2 linked regions of the Danio rerio genome follow. The main gene of each other region encodes a partner of the protein of the gene in region 2 in a complex. Links are inferred from orthologs where the notes say so. Each region holds a gene or a part of one and is shown on either strand. Other genes may lie near its edges.

The links.
Region 1: emc2 (region 2) and emc9 share a complex: the UniProt entries of both Homo sapiens proteins name them as parts of the ER membrane protein complex. The link is inferred for Danio rerio from reciprocal best matches to the Homo sapiens genes EMC2 and EMC9.

The regions. Positions count from the first base shown.
Region 1 is NC_133187.1:13,888,402-13,892,985, forward strand, and holds the start of emc9 (ER membrane protein complex subunit 9), read right to left. Parts: upstream 3,059-4,584; 5' UTR 2,911-3,058; intron 848-2,910; exon of another isoform or gene 823-847; coding exon 628-822; intron 1-627. Other genes in the region: psme2 (proteasome activator complex subunit 2), read left to right, coding at 3,626-3,673, 3,980-4,012, 4,107-4,169, 4,338-4,424, 4,517-4,562. UniProt on the Homo sapiens protein: Part of the endoplasmic reticulum membrane protein complex (EMC) that enables the energy-independent insertion into endoplasmic reticulum membranes of newly synthesized membrane proteins.
Region 2 is NC_133191.1:43,065,166-43,069,506, reverse strand, and holds the start of emc2 (ER membrane protein complex subunit 2), read right to left. Parts: upstream 2,851-4,341; 5' UTR 2,825-2,850; coding exon 2,785-2,824; intron 1-2,784. UniProt on the Homo sapiens protein: Part of the endoplasmic reticulum membrane protein complex (EMC) that enables the energy-independent insertion into endoplasmic reticulum membranes of newly synthesized membrane proteins.

The sequences.
Region 1 (4,584 bases), on a different chromosome or scaffold from region 2:
GATTAGGGCAAGTAATTTGACTACTGATGTCTATGTAAACATAGTCATTGATTTTTAAAGAAATCAGATCTTAAATGTGGTGTTTTTTTGTAATGGCATGACTGGAATTTACCAGAAGTGCTTGAGCTGGCTGACTGAAAATAAAAGGTCTGCATTCATAAACCCAATTTATGAATGGTCAGTAGATCACACACACTATTTTTCAATGCTATCATTTCTTTAATGGGATTGCACTCTCAATTTGCCCTGTTTAGTAAATCAGCACCATGGTACCAACTTAAAAGCTTTGGGGAAAGTATTTTCAGACAGTTGTAGATATTGGTTTCTTTATCTGTGTCTATACAAGGACTAATAATGTAAAAAAACAGTACCTGAAATATGCAAGAGGTCTATATTTTTAAAGATGTGTTTATTTTCTTAAATAAGTAGATGAGGAGTATCCAAATTAATTGCAAAAGCTAGTGAAAAACTAATGTTGTCTAGTAAATAAATGCCTAATACAGTGAATGATCATTTGTATTGGTCAAAAGGCATGTTTTTAAGCAAACCTACAAATAACATATGCAATTGCAGATGAAGAAACTCTGTGTGCACATTCAATGTCCACTGGGAATACAGTATAGTTACCTGTGTAAGCGCTAGCTGTGTGATTGGAGCCAGAGACAGGTGTGAGTGGAGCAGCGGAACACAGTCTGTGATGCATAAGGCTCCCCCTGCTGTACTGGACGACAACAGCAGGCCGTTCACACTGCAGCGTGGAAACTGACTGGCATGAAGATACATCTTGGCATAAGCCAAACAGGATAGCTCCACCTCGCCCATCTTGGGAGAAAAAAAAAAGATAAAGCTAAAAAAAAATCAATAAAATAGTAAAAACAATTATATGAATGGAGAGTGTGAAGTACTATTAGCCACATAAATATAGGAATTTTCTGCATGTAAATACAGTTTTTGTCAGTGTTTTTATGTGCATTACATTTAGATTAGATTAGATTCAACTTTACTGTCATTACACATGTACAAGTACAATGCAACAAAATGCAGCTTAGGTCCAGTTTAGGCAGTGCAATAGCAGCAAGTTCAGGATACAAGTATAAGTTATAAAGTGCAGTTATAGAAAAAACTATAGTGATATTTACAGATGGATGTTCTATCAACATTATATACCGGTTGTATTAGCTATGAACTTGCACCAATATACAGAGATTGATTGTGTGGACTGTGTCATAAAATAATAGAAACATACAAATAAATAAATACACAAATATATAAATAAATGAGTAAATAAATTTGTAATAAATTTAAAATAAATTCCTGCATAAATTAAACATTAAATAAATAAATAAATATGCAAATAAATAAATAAATGTATGTAAAAAAATATAAACTCCTGCATAAATAAATATTTAAAGAATTAATAGTGTGGGCAGGTAAATATTAAATAAATTACATGAATGTTGGGAAAATGAGAAACTGCAAACTAAAAGTTTATTTTCCCTCCTTTCAAATGTTTATTAATTCTTGAACGCAGTTGCGTATTTTTCCTAAAACAAGCCAATGAGAGGGTGTCTGTCAATCAGTAGAAGGCTGCCTTTATGCCATCATTGGTTGATCGTAAGAAAAATGTTGCTTTTTTTGTTTTTTTTTTTGACTGTCTTCAGTTCTGACAGATAGACACCCGCTTATTAGCATGTTGACATGAGGAAAAGTAACTATGTTCTAGAAATGAATATACATTTGAAGGGGAAATAAATAAACTTTCAGTTTAGCATTTTCTTATTCCCCCAACATTTGTGTAGTTTAACTCTTTTTAATGAAAAATGATATATATGACTATATATATATGACTATTTTTTACCACTTAACCTTTACTCTAACCTTCAATAATGTACTTTGTTTTAGAAGTTCTATGTATTTGTGTTTTTATGTGCTAAATGTTTGAAACAGATCAGAATATTATTACACAGGCCAAATTTGAGCAATTACTAAAGGGCTGTTAACAGCTAAATGGAAAACGGCTGATGTATGCACTTTCAATTTACAGTTTTGAAAATGAAACCATGCCAACACTAAATCCCAAATTATGGAACCTATGACAGCATGTTTATGTACATGACAGCCATAATATGACTTTGAGTCGTTTTTGTGAATCGTTGTCTGAACAACTGAAGCAAAGTGGGAAAACACAATACAACTTTTATTTTTTAGCAACTTTATCCTGACAATGTTGGTGTTTTATTTTTGTGGAACTACTTTTTTATTTCACTCTGCTCTTTAAAAACCTGCATTTTCTTGCTGAGAGCTTCAAACTAACTATTTAAAATGTTTTACGTTTAATTTTAGACTTGTCATTTGGATTTGTATGTCTAAACTGTCAAGAAAATATTTTCTTCCGATACTAACAGTAACAGGTGCTTGTTAAACATTTACTCAAAAACTAATACACCACGTTATTTTAGATATCAAGGAGATCTTTTGCCAAGTTTAACAACTGCCCGTTTAAAGGCCCGTTTATGTTAATTTTGTATGTTTTTCCTGTGTTGAAGTGGGTTTCCTCTAGGTGAAGGTTAGATTAATTTGAAACAGTATTGCTTGTGTGTAGAAATGTGTATGTGTCCAATATATCGTTAGTCTTGAGATTGACTGCCAATCTGACCAGGATGTTCCCCAGCATTCAGCCCAGGACGACGGATAAATTCCAGCATCCCAGACACCCCCCTTAGACAAGCGTTTTATATGGAGGATGAAAGAAAATTGGCAGAAATTCCAAGAATTCACAACAAAAAAGGCATAATAAAATCTAAAATCTACGCAATCAAATCAAGGCTCTTTATGTCAATCGAAGACAACATTTAATTTAGCAGTAAACGCTTTATTCCTCATATAAAAGCTTCGTAAGAATACACTCACCCTTATATTGTTCTTCCCTTTTGTAGTAGTCAAATAAAAAAATCCACTGATTAAATCAAACAAATTAAAACAGAAATATTTTGCTGTTTACTTCATAAACACTTCATAAAAGCGAACGGACATTGAGGATGACTGCGGCGTTGTTTCTTCTTCGTGACGTCATGGTCGTGCTTTTGCACAAATCACGCATTACTGCCGCCTGCAGGGCTTGATTTTTCCCCAAAACGACCGTGCTTGAGGAAAAGGAGAAGCCATTATAACAATAATCTATATGAATAATAATTATAATAATTAATAATAGTGCATAGTTTGGGACATATTCCATTAGGATTTTGTGGCGCTCAATTTTAATTTTATTTTTTCTCTTTATCTTGTGTTCTGTCTCTGCTTTTACATAAACATAACGTTTAAGCTATTAATTGCTATTTGTGTTAATTATCAAGGCATTGGTTGAATGACGATTCCTTATTTCTTATAAAATTGTCATATTTCTGTATTAAATAAAAACAGATAGAAATGGGTGTTGTAACATTTTCGACAGTAATATGGAAATGCATATTTTTGGTAGTTCACCGGTACTTACCCAGAGTCCTGACGTGAACCCAGTGGGCGTCGTTTAGAAATCGAAAGTATCGCGAAGGGAAATTTGTCATCTAAACGTCTGCGTCTCTCTGCTTGCGACCTGCTTCGCTTATTAAGACAAATTGCTTTCATTATGTCTAAAGCTAATGTACTGAAGCTAAACTCTGATAATGCAGTGAGGGTAAGTTCATCTTTATAATCTTTATATAATCTCCGTTTACAAACTCGAAGTAAAAACCGTTTGTTTAAGCTGTGCATTGAGTATGGAACCTGTAAGACGTTTTAAAGGTCTTTTTGTCGAATGTATGGATGTTATCGAACGTAACAACTGCTTAATATCTCAATTTATATGTTACAAAAATCCTGAGTCACACTTCCTCATTGACAGTGAAAGTGAAAGTAACTTTACCTGAAGCGCGATGCTTGTAGAAAAATAATTTCTAAGATAAATGAATTGTAATTGAACGTTTGTCTTATCTTCATCCAGATAGAAAACTACCGCCAGTCACTGTATAAGCAGGTATGAGTTTACTTCAGATAATCCAAACATAGGCTGCATTCAGTCTTGTTGCTGCACTGTTGTTTGTGTTGACTGATAGTTCTTTTGTTGACAGGCAGAAGACCTGTTCTCCAATTACATACCATTGAAGATCTCACACCTTGACAACCTGCTGAAGGTATATTTTGCGAACATTTGATTATTTGGCAGATGTGACTACATGCTAATAAACACTAGGCTATATGTGTCTTTAAATGAACTCATCATTACCCTGTTCCAGCTCAACAGAGTTGTTTTAGCTTGAATTCAGCAACAACTGAATTAAAATATTTCTTTATGATTTTAGGGCGATGAGTTTAGTATCACTGACCTCTCATCTCTCCATGCACCCCTGGACATACCCATTCCTGATCCCCCTGCCCCAGAGGACGAGGTTGGCATGCAGCTCAATATTGATAATTATGCTTTCTGAATTAATATTACAAATATTAATTATGACAATATGTATGTAAAATATTTCAATAGGAGATGGAGACAGATAAAAATGAAGATGATGAGAAAAAGAAGAAAGGTAATGTGTACACACACACACA
Region 2 (4,341 bases):
ACAAACTTTTTCTTTTAGCCTGATAATTTGATGTTGGCATCTCTTCACTGTAGTGTTTTATTTTATTTATTTTTTTGTACAATATATTTATTATTTTTTTCAATTTGCATATCACAACAGATTTTACAATTACAGAATAACAATCATGAAGATACAACAAACTTGTTACTCCCTATTCTCCCTCCCATTGACCCATTCCCCTTTAAAAAAATAAATAAATAAATAAACAAGAGCAAAAAAAAAGGGATAGGTTTAAATGAGGTAAAGATTGTTTCCTGTGTCTATGTTTAGACCGTGTTACTCCCTATATTCCTAAGCTTGTTCTTGTTGTAGCAGACTGCCAAGCGCCAACATTTAAATTGTACTTCAGGAGGTTATTAAAAGGTCTCCAGATATCTACAAACACATTTTCTTTCTTTTTGAAAATGTATGTGATCTTTTGCATTGACATATGCGATGCTATTTCTTTAATCCACTTTCCTATTCAAGGTTCATTTATATTTTTCCAATTAAGAGCAATAATACGTTTAGCTTGTAAAATACACGTCTATGTCTTTAGTGGTTTTTACCAGGTTACGGAAAAATAAACATGCTCAAAATATCCTATCAGATAAAAGAAACCGAAAAGCAATATGGTGTTTATGACTTCACAGTAAAGGTATAATTCAAAGGCTTAAAAGCACAACCTGTTTATTGGTTCTTGATTTTCGTAATCACAGGCAAGTTAAAATTTTGTGACAACGCAGCACTGGCCTAATCAGGCAGGTAACAACAATTCTGTCTACTGAAAAACAGCCATGAAAATCGTAGGAATAAAACAATACGAGCCCATACAGACTCTATGGGAAAAGGCGGTCATGAGGAGAGCAATACATATTAGTGCTGATTCCAAACATCCCAAACATCCTATTATAAAATATTATTTTGTAAACAATGTACAGTATGTTCCTAATTGTTTTGTTTGTTTTATTGTCTGCTTAGAACAATATTGTAGCACCTTGTCCTGAGAGTCTCTCATTGGGCAGTCTTTATTGTTGAGCCCTGATATAACTTTAGGAATTATTATTAGTGCTAGTGGTGTTTTTTTTAAGTCATACTTACATGCAATTTTGAATAGAAACAAGACAACAATGATTTTTTAAGCTTTTGTGCATAAATCATATAATTAAATACAGTATTTTTTTTGTTATACCTCCAAACATAATACATTTCTGGTGCCCAAATGTTTTAAACTCTCCTCAAAACACATGCAAATAATAAACTTTCACTCTATTATGGTTAAACTTTGCAGTGATTCTACAAATTGCATGTGTCTTTGGCTGCTGGTCAACGACAATTCTGATTCAATAATATTATAATTTCAGAAAAGTTTTCTTTCTCATATTAGCAGCCAATGACTATCAAAGCACAACATTGTTCACAAGCAGATAAATAGTGCTAATGTTGTTTTCAAGTCATACTTACATGCAATTTCAGACCGGATATACAAAGTACAACAGTAAACACTAGGCATGGGCCAATGTAAGTTTGGATCTATCACACAGTATTGGGGTATTGTGTTTACTGCTCTAAAATAATTTTTTTAAATGTCTTAGTAAAAAATAAAAAATTTCCCTATTTAAGACAATACATTACATTTTAGGAAATATTTATATTTTGGAACAGTGAACATGTCAGGCTACAAAATTCAATTAAACCATTGATTTGTACTATCTTCATAAGCAAAAACACAGATTTCCTTACAACAGATTAAAAACACTTAAAACCCCTCTTTGTATACATTAGAAACAGTTTAACAAAACATTTTTGCGGTTTTAATACCTTGACTTTTCCAAACTGCAGTAAACTTTGAAATCAGTTATCATCCAAGCCTAGTAAACACTATAGGGAGCGTGTCAGAAGTTGTCACGGAACGAATGTGCGAACATAAAACCAACTTTACCTCAACAGCATAAATTATAATTAATGTAAATACGCATGTAAATAAAAAATAACAAGCAAACAAAATGTGGCATAAAAATCTTGTGTACTTACTGATTATTAATAATTGTAATGTATACTTCTACTTGTTAAAGTTTTCCATGACCGGAAAATGTAAGAATGAAAAGCTAATATCTGATTTTTAATAATATTTATTAATATTTATTATTTATTTTGATAATATATTATTTTCACGACAATCAACCTATATATGCCTTATTGTCAAAAGTTTTATCACACATCTAGAGGTTCATGTTTTATAGATAATATCATATCAGTATAATAAGATAATGTGTAATAAGATAAATTATCTAAATCTGAAGATTATTGAACTGAATTAAAATATTAGATTTTGTCAGGTTAATCACAAAAACAACAGGAGATGATGATGCTGATGGGGATCTTATCAAGTAAACTGACTCATTCTTATTGATTGTACATACAAATATTACTTGGGATACATTAGTATTGCATATCTGGTCTTTGCAAATCCTCATTTTACCGAAAACAGACCAGACATCAACAGATTAATCATTTTTAGCATTATACATGTACAACATGACATTCAAATACAAAACACATTGTAATATTTGTAAACGACAGTCGTAAAAACACAGGTTCTGTTACTAAGCTCTGCCTACATATGCTAACTGGCTAGCATTTTGTCTTTAATGAAAAGCACAACAAATAAGAAACTTTAGGCGATAACCTTTACAAAATCTAGAACTCTGGTGACTATTGAATCACTACATATTGTAAGTAAATCACGTAATAAGCGCTGTTAACGAAAATAAAGTCATTTACCTTCCCAAGTGACATCGTACAGCTCCGATATGGACGACATGTTTTTTGAGCTCCGCCCCTTGTGAACGGATTGGTGGAGGGCAGTGACGTTGACAGTCAACGCTGTGAGAAGGGTCATTGAAGGGCAAAAGCCAAACCCAATGAGGTTTTTATTTATTCATGCAGGTATATTATATTGAGAAATAAAGAAAGAAAGAAAGAAAGAAAGAAAGAAAGAAAGAAAGAAAGAAAGAAAGAAAGAAAGAAAGAAAGAAAGAAAGAAAGAAAGAAAGAAAGAAAGAAAGAAAGAAAGAAAGAAAGAAGAGCTTTAATATGGACATTATTATTAAAAGAAAGCTTATGTAAAACATAGCCATTTATAATGTGTATTAGTATACTAGAGCCTATGAAGGACGAAAACTGCAAAAACAATAAATAAATACATAAACACACAGATAAATATTTAAATGAGTAAGTAAATCCATACATTTTTGCATAAATAAAACAATAAGTAAATAAATATGCAAATAAATAAATATGACATAACTAAATTTGTGAATTTATATATATTTTTATTATTTATTTATTTGTTGTTTTGCAGGTTTCATCAATAAATGTTGCTTTAGGAAATTGTGAGTAAATATAATATTCCTGCAAAACATTTCTTTAAATATTTACAAATAGATAGAGAGATTTTATCTTTAAATTACAAAATAATTCTCTAGATATGCCATCATTCTTTATTTTGGAAAACGTAATAACAAAAGACTGTTTTAGTGAAGGTTTAATTTCTGCATTATACAAGATGCTGGTGTCAGCATCAAAGGAATCTTCAAATTGTAAATTGGTAGCTTGGAGATTAGATCTTGAGGAGGATATTTCTACAGAGGACTGGATGCTCAATCACTAACAATGAACACTCGTCTAAAACTGTTACAATATAAATGGTTGATGAGGATTTATATAACTCCAGTTTTATTGCATAAATATAATGAAAATATTCCAGATAATTGCTTGAGATGTAGGGACCAAAAATGAACGTTGTATCACTGTATATGGGAATGTAAAGGAATACAGAACTTTTGGAAATGTATGAAAGAAATTATAGAAAATATTCTTGAGGTTTCTATACCAATGTCTCCTTTAATTTTTTTATTTCATTTATATCCCAAGGAGATCAAGTTAAAAAAGATGGGGCAAATGTTTTTGAATATATGCATTCTACAAGCGAAACGGCTTATTTCTTTAAATCGGAAAAGTACATGTGCACCAACTATAGGTTGTTGGCTGAAAGAGATGGTGACAAACATGAAAATGGAAAAAAAATAACTTATATGATAAGAAATAGATATATAATTTTTGATAGAGTTTGGGGACCTTTTACTCTGTTTTTAAAAGGTGGTGGATTTGTAAATGTTTTACTAGAAGATTAGTAATAGAGGTGATATTGTATTTTGATGTAAAATACTGAGAAGCCTTTTGTTTTGTTTTTGGTTTGTTGTTCATTTGTTTGTTTGTTGGTTTGTGTTGGAATTGACACATGGAAATGTGTATGTACATGTTACTTAAAATATAATA